Linked DNA regions of Drosophila melanogaster. The protein of the gene in region 1 interacts with the protein of each later gene in a pairwise test. Each region holds a gene or a part of one and is shown in the gene's direction. Other genes may lie near its edges.

Region 1 (4,597 bases):
TAAGGCAATAAATTTGCAGGCGGGGATTATCCGTCGTCGAAGTCATGAGACGACCCACATAACACGGCAGTTGGGTGAACTCCCTGCTGCGCCACAATGCCCGCTTGCTATGGAGCCCATTGAGCAGGGCCAAAGCCGTATATTCCCAGTTCTCCACCTTCTGGCGAGGCAGCAACATTCGCGGATTCTCATCGGGCTGGGCAAAGACGTCGTAAAGCAGCTTTACACCATCCACGGCATCGAAACGCCGCTGACCCTCAGCACAGCAGAGTAGCAGCGCAAATGCCTTGGTGTTCATGTCCCAGAAGTTGGACAAGCGGTTTAGGATCCTCGAGTGCAGCAGCTCGAAGAGGCCCAGCTCGATGCCCCGATCGGGTGCCACTTCCAGCATGTCACACAGGTGATGCCACAAATGCAACGGGAATTGCGGACGGCATGGATCCTGTCTGAAGATCTCGGCTAAGGCGGAAAAGTTTTCAGGATCCTCCAGGAATATACCCAGAACTAGGAAAAAATATAACACCGTTAAATCCAATGAAGTGCATGCAGAGCTCACCTTTTGGCTTGCATGTCAAATTTCGCAATATCTCTGAAGCCAATTCATCCTTAATAGGCTCTTGGTTCTTAATGATTTTATAAAACTCCACCCTTAAGCACTTGCGGTTGGCTATATTTTCGGCTCCATCCAAATTGCGGGATAGTATATCTTTAAGAAATAAAAGCTTATTCTAAGAATTCACACAACCTTCAACTTACTATAAATCCTTAGATACATCTCCACCTCCCGGTGCTCCTCCTTGTGATGCTTCAATCTCATACGCATAAAGGCATTCTTCAACCTATTGGTAGGATAGAAACTGGATGATATCAAAAAAAAAAAACTCCTCAATGCAGACAACCCACTTTCTAACAAGGTCCATTTCAATGATAGCTCTTTGGGCATTCAGTGGATTTAGAACGAATTCCGACAACGATACGACTGCCTTCCAATGGGTCAGCCTAACATCACTATCCAGTTCTTTGAGCAATTTGGGCAGTGCAAACCAGCCGTAGGCCAGTTCAGCACGATCCGCCAGGTGCGTCGAGGTCGAATTGCAGCAGAGCGGCATACACTTGCAAATATTCCGTTTCTCCATATGATGCGTCCACTCTGTAATCCATTTTTTTTATGATTATCCTTCGCTGATTATATATCGCAACTAAATTACCCGTAGTCTGCAAGCTGTTTATGGAGGTCGGCTTCATCACATCCTTGATTTCGTGTTGCAGAAAGTGATTGCGATATCTCGCTAGCTGCTCCCACATTTTGGTTTAATGGTTTGTTGTTATTATAATGAGAAAATACAATACGTGTCAAATGCCAGAACTTTTTTCAAAAATCAACTTCTATTCTACGTTTCAACTTAACATTTCTGTTAGGAAAACTATGTTTCTGTACTGTAAAGCGCCATTGCGGCTGAGAACGTAACCCAATTGGTTGGAAGCTCAACTGCGTGTTGAATATTATGAAAAGGTTCGAAGCTCGGATGCAACAGCTGTTCGTCGCCTGAAATCGATATATCGCAATTTGGTTGATATATTTCGCCGATTCAATGCCGCTGCATTTGTGAACGGACGCCGAGCGAGTTACTACCGAATATTAGATGCGGACTGCAAGCGCAGCTATACGAGAATATACCGACAGGCACGCAAAATATGCAAATACCAGGAGTGCATCTCTATTGACCGGTCAAATACTCGGCTTGGCGGATAGTGCATTTGCAGTTGCAATTTCATCAATCGCCAAATGCACTTGACTGAAAGGCTGTACAAAAAAACAAAGAGAAAAAACCCAGTGTGCGTGCGGGAATATGTAAAAAAAAAACGAGTTAAATAAATAGCTAAATAACAAGCAGAAAGCAGAACGTAAGTATCGAAAAAGCGCAGTGTTTTTGTTGTGCCGGCTGAAATAAATTCGATTGTGTGCGCGCGCGTTTGTTTGTGTGTCGGCATGTGCGTGTGAGTGAGCAGACAACAAAAGGAATTCGGCTCGCTCAACTTCTTCCTAGTTTACCGTTACTTGCACTGCCAAAATCGCAAAAAATAAGGGGAATAGGGAGATAAATAAATAAGCCGACGAATTTCGAATAGCATAAATAGTAGCTCCTGCCAAAAAAAAAAAGAAGAAAAATCAGAGAAACGTCAGTCAAATCGAAAAACAGAAATGGCCTTGATAAAACTAGCAAGGTGAGTTTTTATTCTGTTTTCTCGCTAATATTACCTATAAAGTATGTGTATAGGAATTTTCCCGTTGAAAGTTGTAGTCCACCTTCTCTTTCTTTGCTTTTCCACTTAACAAACCGCAATTAAGTTGGCCAGGGGCGGAGTTTCCACCGAAAGGGGGTTTTTCCAGCACTTGCCCACGTAAATTGATTTTCTGTGGCCCCGTCATCCTGTCGTGCTGACCTGAACTGACCCCATTTTTCATTTCCATTTTCCGACAAAAGAACAAAGTCCGCAGCCTGAAAAATCCGGCCCTGGCCTTTTTTTTTTATTGTTGCCTCTTGGTCAACAGCAAAGCGCTTGAGGCCGTGTAATAACTTTCGGGCAAATATTTATTTCCCAGCAACGAGTTGTTGATATTGAAGTTGGTCAATGCACTTTGGCGCCCCTGAAACGCACTTCAAATATCGCTAAGTGTAATCAGGGACTCGGAAAAACGATGATAACAATAATTAAGCATATTGCAGAATCGTAGATATACATACAATTATATTTATGTATTTCAATTGTATGATAATATGATATACTTAATACCAGTACATTTACATTTACAAAAATAAACATCCTTGTGCTTAGATCCAAATTAATTTCGCATGAAATATTTTCGAAATCTTCATAATACCAGTTTCGCAACCAGATTAAACTACTTTTTAGAACACACAACGAACAATCGAATCTAATTTGAACAAGATCAATTCATAAACTTAAGAACACAGCGAACGTAGGATTATGATAATCTGAATTTCAAATGAACTGCTAATAATAGGAAAACTTACGTGAGGTCTGTGCAATTAATTCTGTTATTGTCTAACAACTAACAATGTATTTGTTTACCTTCTCGATTTCGTTTGTTGACTTTTCCAGCATGTACAACAACTAAACAAACTAGCTATCTGGCTATCGAATTTCCAACGCCATTATATCCACTATCCCCTTCACTATAGACTCCGATATTTATTTATTTGCTGTTTACGTTCGCAAAAAAAAAACCAAACAGTCGCAAATCACACATGATTAAATTAATCAAGCGGCGCACAGGCGTTAAGTTTGCGATCAGTTGATTGATGGCCCGCTGACTGATTGGCCGCGTGCTCAGCAATCAGAATTGGGACTATCCCATACGCCACATACACTTTGCCCGGAGGATCCGAGCTGCACTTGCTGCACTGTGAGTGCCCCACTTCTAATGGTCCGCACATAGTTGGAGCAGTGATTCACCTGACCCATTCCCTGGAAGGGGTTCGGTGGTCCAAAAATAACTCCCAGCCTTTCAGCAATTGAGATCAGAGTTGCTGGGACACGGACTTTGGTAATTGAGTGTAATTGGAAGTGAACACGAGACCACTCACTCCAATCCCCAGATCTCGGTGGCCAGATGACGGATGACAGGCCCAGTGGAAGCTGCAAAAGTGCAGCAGATTGCATCCACAAAGAATGTGTCTGTATCGCGGCCCGATGGCCCCAATATGTCCTCGCCTGACCTGCTAGTTCAATTTGCACATGAAACATACAGTATGTATTCTTCGAGTACCACCACCTCATATATGCATGTTTATATATATATATATATATATATATATATATATATTCATATTTATATGGCTGTGCAGTGGAAACTTTTGTGGACTACAATGAGAATGCAATAAAACTAAAACGGGAGGCTGCATTGATAAAGCGAGTAATCTATATGACGACATGGTCTCGAGTTACTCTGTAAATAGCACCCTGCGCACATGGAGCGTATTTACATACCACATATACATATATGTACGTACATACTATGTATCTGCGTAATCTCGGGCTGTTTGAAAGCCCTATTGTTATACGACTCGTGCTGGCGACTGTTTAATTTAATTATGACTGTTTCATTAATTGAAGTGCGTAGTATTCTATAAATGGAAATCTTGCGGCCGCAATAACAACGCGCATGGGGCATCAAATGAAAGCTTCCAATCAAGATCAGTGCTTTATAACTTTTGTCAATCTTAACTCAGTTCGATTTGTCACTCCACTTCAGCAAAGTCGTAGATCTTCGATTGATAAGCAGTACTTCCTTTGTCTTGGCCAAAATGCACCTGATCGATCAATGGGAGGTCTTGGCCATCCACTCGTGAGTAGACTCAGCTATCTTTGTAAAGTTGCGCAATTTCCAAGCTGGTCGCACATCGAATTCTAGTTCTCATTCCCACACGAAAACCCGTTTAAAAAAACAAACCAACAAACAAATGAGCTAATGTGCTTGAATACGCTTAAGATCGGTTTGAATATACATATAAGATCCGAATTTTGGGTGGTTCTCATATAAATTGTAATGCTATTTACGAATCTAGCTGTT
Region 2 (4,746 bases), on another chromosome or scaffold:
TTACATTTCCCCGCAACATTTTTCATGAAAATTAGGTTTTTGTTTTATTTCATTTCGGGCTCTCTGTACAATTTTTTTTTCGAGATTTCCCGTTCGTTGTGTCCGAGTCCCAATTTGTGCGCTAAGCTTTTCCCCTCGAAGGGTAATTGCCTCATGTTTCATCTACACATCAATTAGCCGCAACAATTTAATTTGCCCGCCTGGAAATGGGAAAAGTGCGGTAGCTGGATAAAAAAAAAATAATAAGCACACAGCAATTTCAACAAGAAAAATCCATAAAATATTTGTGCAACATTTTCTCGCCGCCCAAACCTGCGGGCCGTTAGTGCGAGTGAGATGGCCAAACAACTGTCGTCAGCTATTTCAAATTGTCATAAAAATTTGATAAGGTTTTTTCCGCTGCTCCCCCAAACCACCCAACTCTGCGAATTTTTATTCCTGCGTCAGCTACAAGGCAAAAATATAACAGAAAAAAATGTTTGGGCACAAAAAGTGTTGGTTGCTCGAAAATATCATTTACAGTTAGACTGCCATGGTAGAGAATTTATAAATAAGCTAATTAATAATTATAAGCTAGTTGAAAATTAAAACTAACAAAACCGCTTTGCAAAACTAAATCATAATTATAATAGCTATATCTATTGAAATCATTTATTAAAGACCTCTTTTGAGCAATTCTTAGCCCACGAATAGCAAACTAGACTTTAAACCCAAATCCACCTTAAGTTTCGATTCTTTTCGCCTCACTTTGCGTAAATGATAATTGAACAATGGGGGCCGCCCATTGGGGCGAAAGAGAGGGGGCGTGCCAAGTGTGAGTGGCTGGCTCTCCCCATCCCTGTCGCGCTTTCGCCGCTGGTGTTGTGTGTGCATGGCAATTTGCGACGCAGAAGTAGAAGAGGAGGAAGCTAAAGAAGAAGCAGTAGCAGCAGTAGCAGCAGCAGTAGCAAAAGTAGCGGTACTGACCAGCGTCCTTTAAACGCCCGTCGCCACCTACCCCCGTTTCCTTATCTTTCGCTGTTAGCTAACAAATTTTTGCGTTGTTTTCGCTGTCTTGTCGTTTTCATTAAAATTTCATTGCTGCCGCGCAAAAATACGAAGGTACGTTGTTGCTTTTTTTTCCTCCTTTTATGACTATGTATTTTTTGCTCCTCGTTTTTTGCTCTTGTGGCAACAACAAAGTTGTTGAACTGAATTTTTTTGGGGTGTGGTCCCACACTCAAACGCACACCAGCAACGTACACACACGCTCATACACGCGCGCACACACACGCGCAGCAGCAACAACACAGCGGTAAATACAGCTGCTCAGCAAACGGTACCACCAGCAGTTGTCTCGCTCCCACTCAGTCAGGTTGTAAGCGGCGTGCGAGAGAGATGCCGCAAGAGAGTGAGAGAGAGAGAGAGAGCGAAATACTGAACGACTGGAACGGAGCGAAACTACGGCTATCTCACTCTGGCGCGCGGTAGAGAGCCGGGCAGCCATTGCTAAAAGCAGGCACTCACTCGCTCTCCCTCTCGTTTCCACCACCGCTGGTGTTTGTTTGTTGTTTTTTTCCTGCTTCTTCTTCCAACATTTTTTCTTGTTGTTTTTCTTTTTTCGCAGACTCTGGTCGAACGACTTTTGCTCTGCCCGCTGCTCGCTGCGCTGCTGCCGCCGCTGCCATCGTCCGTGGAAGGTGTACCGCAATTCATTTCCAGAGTAACTTTCGTGCCGCTCGGGTTGTTTTTGTGCGTCGTCCGTCGCCCAGTTGCTCAGTTGCTCATTCGCCCCGTTCGCCGCTCGTTCGATCGCTCTCGCCACTCGCCGCGTTCGCCGATAAGCAAGCAAGCACCAGCGCAAGCCAATAACAACAATCAATTCGCCGTCGCCAAACCGAATCAAATCAAATCGAAGCAAACTAAACCAATCAAACACAAATAAACAAATATCAACACGAGAAGCTATAGCTAACACAGCTATAGAGAAACAAAGAGCCCCAGAGGAGAATACTAAGTAATACAGAGAGATATATCCTTTTGGATATAACGCAGTGCCAAGTGACGAGAATCTGTTTTTTTACCGTGTTGCCAGTGCTAAACCATAAACATCGCCCAAAAAACATACATCTCTGGAATACAATATTTATATATATATAAATATACATATATATCTTTATATATATGCATGTGTAAAATATACTCATGCCATAACCATATAGTAGTTGGATCCGAAAACAAGTCACCATTGGAATACAGCACCGTTTTGCTTCTAGTTTTGTTTGTGTTTTTTTTTCGGTGAGTGCGATCCGCCGATATCGAGAAATCGGTAGCAATCTATATATCCAGCAAGGAATGTGGAGCCGAGAGATAAGCACGGATTACATGGGGAATCTGTAGACCTAAGTAGTTTTTGGGGGAGCGGGAATCTATCTTAGGGATTACTCTTATCAACTTGTTTATTTAGCAGAGATATTAGGTCACAAGTCTTACATTATCTATGACATATTTGAAATACACTCTTTAAACTTGGAATAATATTGAAAGATCTAACACGCTGTAAAGCTTAATTATTTTCTTTTTCGTTATCGCTTCAACTTTATTCTTGAGCCAATCTTCATTCTTCATTATAAAGCTCAGACTTTAGAGATATGTTATAATATGTTTGGTTCACTATTTTCGATTAGCCGAACTTGACAGATCTTTTGTTTTTCACTTACACTTCTACATATATTTACAAGGTTAAAATGTTCTTCCAAATGCTATAATCAACCGATATTATTTTGCCACATATACTAGTCTTTATTTAGCTTCAGATTCAATGGATCTTAGAAGTCTTTAATTGGAATACTATTCATTGATTTCGGGGACTCCCAAGTCCAACAATAGAGTTACCTATTCCATGCCCGAAACTTTGTTTCAGTTCCTTCAGCTCTTCGTGATATGATGGAGCCTTTTTTTTAAAAATCTGGTTTCGGTCAGGAAATTTCCGCCTATGACTAATGTGCTGATCGTAATGTGAGAAAATGCGCGTTTCGGAGATTCGTTATGATTTTCATAATTTTAATGGGCATATTAAGGCCGCCTCCCCTAATTAGGCAAAACAAAAAGAAGCCAGCAAGAGCCGACCAAATCGATACGAGAAATGTGATATAGAAAAAAGGCTAACAAAATGATAGGGCCAACGGCGAAGAAACCCCAAGAAAATCAATACTAGATACAATAGAAGACAGCCGACGGACCCGTTCGGGTCACATTATTCACACATATTCCCAACATCCCCACATCACCACATTCCCACTTCCCGATGTTAGCGATCGGATCGTCTAATTTCAAAGCGGCGGCTATAAATTAAAATATCTGAATAATACGTTGACTCCTCGCTGGCTACTTTGTTGTTCTGCTTTATTATTAATTTGCATATGGTTTTCTAACATAAAGCAACTGAATATTAAATATGCAAGTCGATTCATTTTTCTCCCATTCCGATAGTCTTTCTCCATTCGAATCAAAGTGTTGAGAATGGGATTCGGATTCGGCTTCAGATTCGGATACGGAGTTCGTGCAGTTGGTGTAGCTGGTGAAGCTGGTGGGGATCTCTTGGGATCTATTCGGTCCCACCCACGCTTGTGCTTGCTGGCCCTGCCTAGATCCCCATAGTATCACAATACCTCAATGTACCAATCTTCCAATGCCAATTCATTCATTCACAACATCCGCCCAGCGTTGTCGATTGTGAATTGAAAGTCGCCGAGATCGCGTCGCGACACATTTGATACCTTATCGCGGATATCCATAAAGCTCAGCGAATAAGTGAATTTCGCTCTAGGAAGCACTGAAAAAAAAAGTACTCGAAGTTGTAGATTCACATAGCAATGGCATAGCTAAACATTAGATCAAGAATTCATTGGAAGTACGTTGGTTCGATATGCTTGTGGGACATGATGTGATAGATATTACAACTAATAGTATTTATCAATATGTTAGCATTCCATATTTTGTACTATTGATTAAGTATTGAACAATACTAGTAGTTCTAGCCTATTCCATAGTGGTTTTTGAGTTATATTTTAATATGTGGGCATATTTTCGCTCACTGTGAAACGGTATCCATTGTTCCGCTTCCCTAGCACGCCCCAAATCTTTCGGATCGGTTTGGTTGCGATCAACTCGAACTCCCACACACTTGGCATGGGTATGGATATATATGCTCGTACCTGGGAGATCGGGTGTTGCCTTTTTTTTTTTTTTGTTTTGTCGTCATCTTTTGTCAATCTCTTGTGGCGTCGCCTCGCCTTAAGTGAGGTTTCATTTCGTTTCAGTTTATTTCATTTCATCCAGCGTTTCTTGGACTTGGACGCACTTACTGACTTTTTTTCTCCCAATTTTTTTTTTTGCCTACCAATTATTTGTATTATTAATTTTTATCTCTCTTCACTCTTTGCTCATTACGCGATACTGGCGGTGTTGTTGCTATTCGCTTCTCAAATTTCGTTGACAAAGCCATTTAAATAGAAATCACTCAGACGGAGGTTTATTTTTTTTTTCAGTTTTCAGTTTTCAGTCTTCAGGTTCCATTTCCAGTTTCGACTTATCAAGATCACATTGACAATGCGTCAAATAATAAGTTTTTCTAGCCGCTGTCGTTGTTTTTCTTGCTGTTTTTGTTTGTGCTGCGATTCGACTGGAGCTCTTTACTCTATTAGTCTATTATTGATATGTACAATATATTTTTTTTTTGTATTTTTGGTCCACTGTCCATGATGC
Region 3 (3,994 bases), on another chromosome or scaffold:
ACTCGGTGATCAGCCCTTTGATGTACTGGTTGGAAAATTGAAGTGAGTTCATATTAAAGCACTCTACTTAAAAATGACTCTACTCACATCAGCCTTGTCCTTGTACCACCCACCGCCCAGTCTAACGCCAGGCTGATATCTTGATCCCTGCTTCTTTAGCACAATGCCCTCGGCGTGGGAGTCGAGTGCCTGCTGGAACAGCTCGTTGAACTCTTGAACGGAACCGATTTTGCGTGCACGCATCAACTGCAGCACACCCGACTGTTCAACTATGAGTTTCTGCAATTTGTACGCCCGCTGAATGTAGGTATGGTCCAGCAGACTCTGGCCATTAAAATATAGCAGATCGTACACCACGAAACATGGCTGCCAGCTGCCCTCCGGCTTCAGGCTCTTCACGTCCGTATTCTCGCCTTTTTCCCGAAAGCGCAGTTTGTTGGTATCCCACACCATCATCTCGCCGTCGAGTATGATAGACTCCAGACCCAGCGGCAGAAGTCCCCTCAGCTTTGGCGTTAAGGTGCCGTGATCGTAGCTGTGACCAAAGTTTCTGGTGTAGTCCACTCCATTGCGGGAAATGTACATGAAACGACCCCGATCGATGTGCAGCTGAAAGCGTTCGCCATCCATTTTGGTCTCCAGATAGAGCACATCCGACTGCATCAGCTCCTGGATGTCACCGGGGAATCGTTCGCACAGCATGGGACGTATCTGGTGGAATGGCCGTATGACGGAATTCAGGTTTACAAACTTGACCGCCGCCTTGCTGTCCTTGCTGCTGCTGGCGTCTAGGTCGGTGGTTCGGTCTGCCAGCAGATTGCACACATGTCCCAGATCGGAGCAGCGCTGGTAGATATCCTGCGCCTTGGGGTGCAGCACACCGAAAATCTTTTGCTCACCGATCCCCAGCCCGAGGCTCTTAAGCAGCAACCGAATTAGCCACTTCTGTTCCTCAGGCGAGGCCTGCTCCGTAAACCGGATGAGTTGCTGCTGCTTAACTGCAAAGAGCGGTCTCATTAAGACGTTCAGTCGTTCAGATCAGTTTAAAAGCGCCCACCTTCTGTGTCCTCGTTGGCAATGGTGTCCAGCATCTGATGGATTTCTTTCAGTCTCAAATTGCTGGGCGGATTAAAGCACCTTGGCTTAAGCACGGAATAAACAACATCACCGTAGTCCCGGTACATGTTTCCGTTGCGGTGCTGCAGCCTGATGGCATCGCTGGCTAGTAGAGACAACAAAGAGATTCTAAATAAGCCTAAATGCCATTGCCAATACGTTTCTGCACTCACAGTCCGTGGGTAGCTGGAGCACCCTGATGTAGAGCCTGCCCAGCGCGGTGATCTGCAATCCATAGGTATCCCGACCAGTGTCCGCACCCGGAAGCAGCAGTCGCAGCACGGAATAGAAGCTACTGGCACCGTCCTCCGGCTGGTCGTTGTTTAATCCGGTTTGCCGGCGAAAGGATTCGCGGTGGCGACAGAAGGACTCGTAGTAGCTCTTGAGGACCTCCTCCTTGTTAGCCACCTTTTGCGTGGCCTTAATCTTCTCGAACAGGCTGCAAATATCCCGGAACTTGATCGTGCTGGCTATATCTACGCTCATTTTGTTGTTTAAAAACAATATACTGTTGTAAACAATTTCATCACTGTGAACATCTGTTCAAGCAATGTGACCGCGCTTCTCAATCAAAGTTAATACCCATTTTAGACTAGTTGCAATATTAAGATGCGGACGTTAGTGGCAGAGATTATTTAATTTTTAAGCTCTTCTATTTGGCATAAAATAGATAAAATAGTTTATAGGAACAAGTTAAAATTAGCAGACTATATAAAATACCAAAATTAATCGATAGACTTCTATCAATAACCAAAAAGGCGGCAAATCGTTTGTTTTGGTTCGGTCCACAGTTATTGACTTTTGCTTCACGCTTGGCAAGTTATTCGAGAAAATGGGCAAAAAGGAAACGCGAGCGAGAAAACCAAAAGCTGATCCGGATGCGGAGGGATCTGCCAAGATGTGCAAGGCCTCGGCACTGAAGAAGGTGTTCTTCATGTCGGAGGAACTGCTGCCCAAAGATGCGGACGACGGACACCTTCGGCTGGAGATGTTTTTCCATCCCGGACATGGCAAGGAGGCACTGTTCATAACCCATCCCGATGGCAGAATGATGGAGCTGGTGGCGTTCACGGAACCCCGACGCAGTTGGTTCGTGGACAGCGAGGTCTGCTCCAACGGCAGAATCTACATGACCGCGCCCGTGGATCCCACGTTCCTGGCTCTTCATCACCTCCGAAAACATTGTGCGCAAAGTAAGATATTATCATTCGCTTTCGATGGTATACTATACTATTGTATTCTTGAAAATCTTTAACCACAATCAGGAGCAATATCGCTGGACAACATTGCCGTGGAGGAGGCCAGCACCAGTCGTCTGCTTAACGAGATCCTCGACCCAGGGAACCTTAAATGCGTGGCAGATGTGAAGAGCTCTGGCGAACAGAAGTTCTACAAGTACAACCAAGAGCGCACATTGGCTTGGTTGGCTCTGAAGACGCGCCAGGTGGCGAAGATCCTGAAGGAGAAGCAAGTCCACTGCGGCCACAGTGCGCAGTCGCAGAATTTCGTGCGAAGCGAGAAACTGGTAGCTGAGAACGTTAGCAACGAAATGGACTACACGCGCATGGCTTGCGATTATGTGGGACGGTATTTGGATGCGGATCTGCACGGCTTGCTCACCAGTTACCTGCACATTCCTAGCGAGATTCAGGCGATTGTTGAGGAGAAAGCAGCTTCTCAGAAGCGCAAGTCGGTGGCGGGCAAGAACGAGGGCAGCGACTCCAAGAAGATCAAGCTAAATGAGAGCGATGCTGCTGCCAAGCTAAAGTCCAGCGGTCTAGTGGACAGCGATGGCGATCCCAATGCCACCATCACATCGCCCACAGCGGCGCCTCTGAAGGAGCGCTCGCTGACCGCCAAGGAGAAGGCCCTGGCCAAAGGAGCCAAGGGCACTAAAAGCATCGCATCGTTTTTCAAAGCGAAGTAGATTAACGTTTCACAGATCTTAAGAATAGGTTTTAACTCCTTATTTTATATATATACTCTATTTAATACAAATGTACACTTTTTTTTACAATGAATATAGTACTTTAAAGAATTACTTTTGTTATTTTAAGATTTGTATTCATAAATTTGGTATTTTGAAAGTGCGCCTTTTTGGCGCATGCGCTGTTTGATCATCTCTCTTGATTCCGTTTGGTAAATCCCCATCAGCTGTTGGCGTTGCCAGGCTTCTAAGGAATTGGTTTACTTAGAGGCTTCAGTGCCAAATGTTGCGAATAAAGAGTTTCTTAGTCGACATATTTTTTTAGGTATACCATATAAGCATATTAAGTAATGCTAATTAAACATATGAAATCAGAGTATACTAATAAAACTAACTAGAAACGAAATTAATTTTTGGGGATTCATGCAACACATATGATTTCAATCCTTAGTTCATTGCGCGGGGTGGCAATCCTGGCCGTCAGTTACAAAGCTGCTGGCTCCTTTGTTTCCGTTTTTGTCGCTCAGTTGTTGCTGTGCGCGCTCCCACGTTCGAGGCTAACGGTGAATTCCGCTTTGCGCCTTGATTCGCATTTCGCCACCCCCGTTACCCATTCGCCCGCAACCGAATATCCTGCTACTCCTGCTCTTGTTGTTGTTGTTGTTTTCTATATGCCTTGAATTTTCGGAACAACAATTACAGGGGTTACATTAGTGAATTTTCCCGTTAGCCGTGTGTCCCAAAGCCAGTGCTCAAGTTTAAATTGTGAAAGGCAGAGAAAGGAAAAGAGTGGCGTCACACGAAAGAAAATTTTCTTTGGCGTCGTCGAGGTGTTTGTGCCTTAGTGTGTGTGTATGTGTGTGTGCGAATGTGTTGTGGTTGGTGTGGCATAAGATAAATAATACAATGCAGCACTCAGTTAGCAACAAATTCTCTCTTCTCTGCAGCAGC
Region 4 (4,726 bases), on another chromosome or scaffold:
GATGGCATCGCGGATGAAGCCCACCCAAGTGCGCGACAGCTGCACATCGCCGCTACCGAAGATTATGCCATCACTTTGGCAAGTAAGCTTAAAGTTGCCCGGCAGCATTTCGTACACTTTGCATTTTTTCAACGGAAAAATACAGCAACACTCCAGTGAGTTTTCCACAACGGTGTTGGGCGCACGTTCCTTGATCATCTTGCAGTACATGAAGATGTCGGACATGAGAACACAGTAGCGCTTGATTTCCGTGCCCTTGTGAGTGATCTTCTGCAGTACACCCTCCTTGATTACCCGTCGCGAGGGCTTCACAATGTTCGGTGTGCGATTCACCAAAGAGTTCTGCAAATGAATCAGATACTGGGTAATTTCCTGCTCCTCCACACAGGTGTTTATGTGACTGGCGGTGGCCTCGATCTCCTTGACGGATTCTGTAAGGATGAGCGCAATTATTCGATATCTGATTAACATTAACTTCAAGATCATACCTTTCAACAACTTATAGTCAGCATCTGCGGGACTCGTGTAGAGCAGTACCTGCTCCAGAAGAAGCTTATACCGCGGTACCCGCTGGATGGGCACAATCATCAGCGAATTTAGCTTGCGTTGCACCTCCGGACGACTCTCGGTCTGCTCCAGAAACTTTCGGAACACCGGATTCTTGCTGATCAAATCCTGGATGATGAACAGAGCTCCGCGGTAGTCAAAGGCGTACACCGAGTACAGTTTGAAGAAAGGAGCCATTTTCAGGAATGCGTGCGCAACATTCTCCATGTTCGCCTCCAGTTCGCGCAGGAATTCTCCGTTAAGATTGTGAATCATCTCGATTTGACCGAAGAGCAGCGTGTGATTGGAGCAATCGATGATAGCCTGTTCCTTCAAGGGACGCACAAAAAAGTTCATCAGCAGCTCCAGCTGCTCCAGATACGATTTCTCCGACGAAATAATCTCCTGGATGGCCTGGCGACGGAAACCCAATCTTTTTCCCGCGTCCGGATTGGGGGAGCCAATCGGACTGCTGTTGTTGCTGTCCAGCATGGAGCAAACTGCATGAACCGAATGGTCACAATTAGTTGTTGAACACCTGGCGCCGCCTTTGTGTGCTGCTCACCTTTCCTACGCGACTTGGCAGTTAGAAGATTCCGCTCCTGCAGCACCTGCCGCAGTTCCCGGCTGAAGCTGAGAGGTGTTTGTGGCGAGTGAATGAAGCCATTCCCGTATCCTTTCTGCCTGGGCGTAAACATTTTCCAATCGACTTTCTGGAAAGAAGATCCAAAAAGAAAACGACGCCACACCTGTTCAATTTGAACAATGCCGCTTCTGCAGTGTTACCGTTTGTTAGTGGCAGCCACACTGGAAAGTGTAAGACCGCATTGGCGAGGGGAGATTGAAGAATAAGAAAAAGTTAAGCAAACTATAATATAATCTTGTCTATTTTTGTAGCTTTCTATTCATCTTGGCTGTGGTTATTATAGATCTTATAAAAATTGTAATATTAAATTAATTTCATTTAAAACTTTTGTGCCCGCGTATGCGTTGCACCAGTCTAGCCTATTGTATTGCGACATGGTCACACTGGCTAAATTATTTATTTTTTATACGTGGTTCGTGGCCCGTTTAGCTTTTAATTTAAATGTTGTTTTAGCTATTGCTGCACCGAAATGCATGCAGAACTCAGCGAAATGGAGTTGCGCATAGTGGCGCGACTAAACGAGGAGATCGGAAAGGATGCCAGCCAGCTACACCGGGCCAGCCACCTCGTTAGCCACTACAAAAAGCACCTCCAAGTTTTGTCCCAAACGGTTGGACGAATATCTATCTATCTAGATCATGATTTTGATCCATATATTTCAACAGCTCGACTACGAGGATCCCCAGAACGTGTCCTGCTACAAAACCGCCTTCCAATGCCAGCAACAGGTTTGCGAGAGCATCGACTTCGAGCTGGAAAAGCTGGCTCACTTCGAGGACAAGCTGAAAAGAAAGCTAAAGGAGTGCCAGCCCGTGCTTGAGGGAGTGGCAGAGGATTTAGACAAGGTGCGACAACTGCAGCGTTTGCAACAGTATCTGCTCCTGGTGCAGGACATTCAGGAGATAAGCGCTGCCCTAGGCAATGCCATCAATGGCAAGGACGAGGACAAACTGGTTAATATCTACCTAACCCTCTACGAGGGCAACGACTGCGAGCACAGCGTAGTGGGTCGCCTGCATGCTGTGCAGGCACAGTCGCTGAAATCCTTTGCCGAACGCACTGCCATCTACTGGCACAAGCTGCTCCTCAAGCGCCTGTCCAGCGCATTCGAGGCTGTACTGAAGAGCATGCGCTGGGCGCATCTAGAACAGCAGGCCCTTAACTATTCGTCCGCACGAGACACTGCCAAGGCGCAACTGCTAGCGGAGTACATGTTCCTCATCAAATCTCCAGCCGAAGAGCGGGCGCCACTGCAAAGCATCACGCCCAGCATCGTGTGCCAGCCCATCAACCGGGTGGTGCAGCTCCTATTGGCGCCGTATCGCCAGCGTTTCCAATTTCACTTCACAGGCACCAGACAAACCAATAGATTAGACAAGCCCGAGTGGTTCTATACGCAAATTCTCAACTGGGGCAAGGAGACGCATTTCTTTGTAGGCAAAACATTTCAGCCAGCTGCCATTAAAGCGGGTAAGCTGGACTACAATCTCAGGGTAAGTGTCTCGGTGTCTTACCAGACCACTCAAAATTCTAATTGTGTTACTCTTTTAGCTGGAGTTTATTCGAGGACTGGTGCAGTTAGCCATTGAAAAGTTGGCGGTGGACATAGAACAGATTGCCCAGGACCAGATACTATTTGCCCATCTACTTGATGAGACGCTGGCCTTCGAATCCGAGTTACGGGAAACATTTGGGTATCCGGCTAGTTTTCCCAGCGCGATTTCTGTAATCACACAACCCATGTATTTGCTACGCTGGATTTCACTGGAAGAACGATGTGAGATATGGTCGCTGCCCTCGATTGCTGTTATTTAATAATGTGCTTACCTAGTTTGTGCGGAAAAAATGGATGACATTCTGCAGGCGGAGACGCCATTCCAGCTAATCGATCCCAACTCATTCGAGAACGATCTGAAAATACCCAAGTGTGCGGATCAGTTTATGCGACTGCTGGACGCCATTAAGGATCGTTACTATGGTCTGATTCAACCGGGCCACCAGCTGCAGTTCCTGCACCTGCAACTGGAGCTGATCGATAGCTTCCGACAACGCCTGGTGCAACTGCACAGCAGTGGAGCGGTGCCAAGCATTCCCATACTGAATGCCATCAACTATTTGGTAATGGTGCTCCGTGAATGGGGCGAAAACGTGCATTATCTGCACCTGCATGCGGCACTTGCCGGTCCAAATGCCACGGAGATTAATTCAGTGTTCGAGCATGCCGTCGCTGAGTTGGAACACTGGGCCAGACAACTAATGCGGAATCTGGCCACCAAGGCAACCAATGAAATGAAGGCGAAATCGATGAGCTATCGCCGTGACGCGTGGCCGACTATGCCCGAACAAAACAGCCGGGAGCCGTTCATCCTTTCGCCCAGTGGTGGCGAAATGTTCCAGGTGCTGGTCACCCTGCTACACAATCTGGAACGGGAACTCTCCGCCAATCTGTTCACCCAAACGCTCCGTTTGATAGCCCATCAAATCGATGACTTCATGCTCGAGAGCATGGTCATGAACACGAAGTTCTCAGCTGCGGGAGCAGCGCAATTCAATTATGACATGACACGCAATTTATTCGCGCTCTTTGGACAGTATACACGTCGTCCCGAGCTGCTCTTCAAGCGGTGAGTCATCTCTACATTTGCTATGGTGCACAATAAACATAAATCTGACACCTTTCATTTCCATTCGATTCGCCAGAACACACGATGCCTGCAAGCTGCTGGCGGCGGCACGAGGAACAGCTTTGTTGCTGCTGGAAACGCTGCGTGGTAATCAATCGGTGGAGGAGAAGACGAAGCCGCTGAGGGAACTGCATGTGCTCAGCATGGACAGCAAACAGTGCATTGAGGTTCTGGAGCGGAGGATGGACATAAAGATGTTTTAGGTGATGGAAATTAATTTAAGCTAGTTAATTGGGCCCTAGGAACTTTTGAAATGATATACAACGTTCGGACGCCGTTTTTTTGCGAAATAAAATCATTAACACCCAAAATGAAAGTTAAAAGATGTTTATCGTAATTTACATTCATTTTATTTGAAGAAAGGCATGTGTATAAACATAGTTATCATGACGGAGATTTAACTAATTTGTATTTAACCAGGACACAGTTTCGAACTCGTGCGAATGCTAGTAACAAACGACCAAGTTGTATGAATGAGATATAATTTTGAGTACATATTTACAATTAAATAGCAATTCGTTGCTCTAGGCGCACAAGTCTTGAATGTTTTTTGTGATAATTAAACATTTAGTTGGAATTGTGGTCTCAATGTTTGGTTTAATTTGTAAAACGTTGACACAAAAACATGCGGTAACTTTAACTTTAATAATAAATTGATCTAAAAATACATAGCGTAAAATAGCATATAAACCGGCCTGATCGGGCTCGAATCGCATATCAATACTGATTCATGGCTGATCAGGGCGTATTGTATATCCCTATCGTCGGATGACAAACAATTGCAGTTAGTAAATACCAATTTGCGACTCGAGACGCACATCACACATCATCATCACATCGTGGAACGGAC

Evidence for each region.
Region 2: the proteins of Snp (region 1) and oc interact in a two-hybrid assay, tested with the Drosophila melanogaster proteins (one large-scale study listed by BioGRID).
Region 3: the proteins of Snp (region 1) and CG11164 interact in a two-hybrid assay, tested with the Drosophila melanogaster proteins (one large-scale study listed by BioGRID).
Region 4: the proteins of Snp (region 1) and Rint1 interact in a two-hybrid assay, tested with the Drosophila melanogaster proteins (one large-scale study listed by BioGRID).

What each region holds. Positions count from the first base shown.
Region 1 is NT_033778.4:22,059,356-22,063,952, forward strand, and holds the start of Snp (snipper), read left to right. Parts: upstream 1-1,594; 5' UTR 1,595-2,203; coding exon 2,204-2,226; intron 2,227-4,597. Other genes in the region: CG13501 (uncharacterized protein), read right to left, coding at 1-504, 557-706, 757-839, 904-1,150, 1,209-1,305. UniProt on the Drosophila melanogaster protein: A broad-specificity exonuclease, capable of degrading both structure-specific DNA and RNA targets without sequence specificity in vitro. Requires two to five unpaired nucleotides in the 3' region for efficient binding and nuclease activity.
Region 2 is NC_004354.4:8,647,625-8,652,370, reverse strand, and holds the start of oc (ocelliless), read left to right. Parts: upstream 1-1,689; 5' UTR 1,690-1,996; exon of another isoform or gene 1,997-2,277; intron 2,278-4,746. UniProt on the Drosophila melanogaster protein: Transcriptional regulator involved in pattern formation and cell determination in the embryonic CNS and larval imaginal disks.
Region 3 is NC_004354.4:13,666,139-13,670,132, forward strand, and holds CG11164 (uncharacterized protein), read left to right. Parts: upstream 1-1,875; 5' UTR 1,876-1,948; coding exon 1,949-2,309; intron 2,310-2,381; coding exon 2,382-3,043; 3' UTR 3,044-3,435; downstream 3,436-3,994. Other genes in the region: DNAlig4 (DNA ligase 4), read right to left, coding at 1-25, 88-998, 1,058-1,222, 1,290-1,602.
Region 4 is NT_037436.4:7,322,067-7,326,792, forward strand, and holds Rint1 (RAD50 interactor 1), read left to right. Parts: upstream 1-1,552; 5' UTR 1,553-1,661; coding exon 1,662-1,802; intron 1,803-1,857; coding exon 1,858-2,685; intron 2,686-2,743; coding exon 2,744-2,969; intron 2,970-3,023; coding exon 3,024-3,816; intron 3,817-3,892; coding exon 3,893-4,079; 3' UTR 4,080-4,189; downstream 4,190-4,726. Other genes in the region: RhoGEF4 (Rho guanine nucleotide exchange factor 4), read right to left, coding at 1-431, 489-1,046, 1,112-1,244. UniProt on the Drosophila melanogaster protein: During cytokinesis in male meiotic cells, required for completion of cleavage furrow ingression possibly in conjunction with Zw10. Required for maintenance of Golgi stack number and morphology. Essential for acroblast assembly.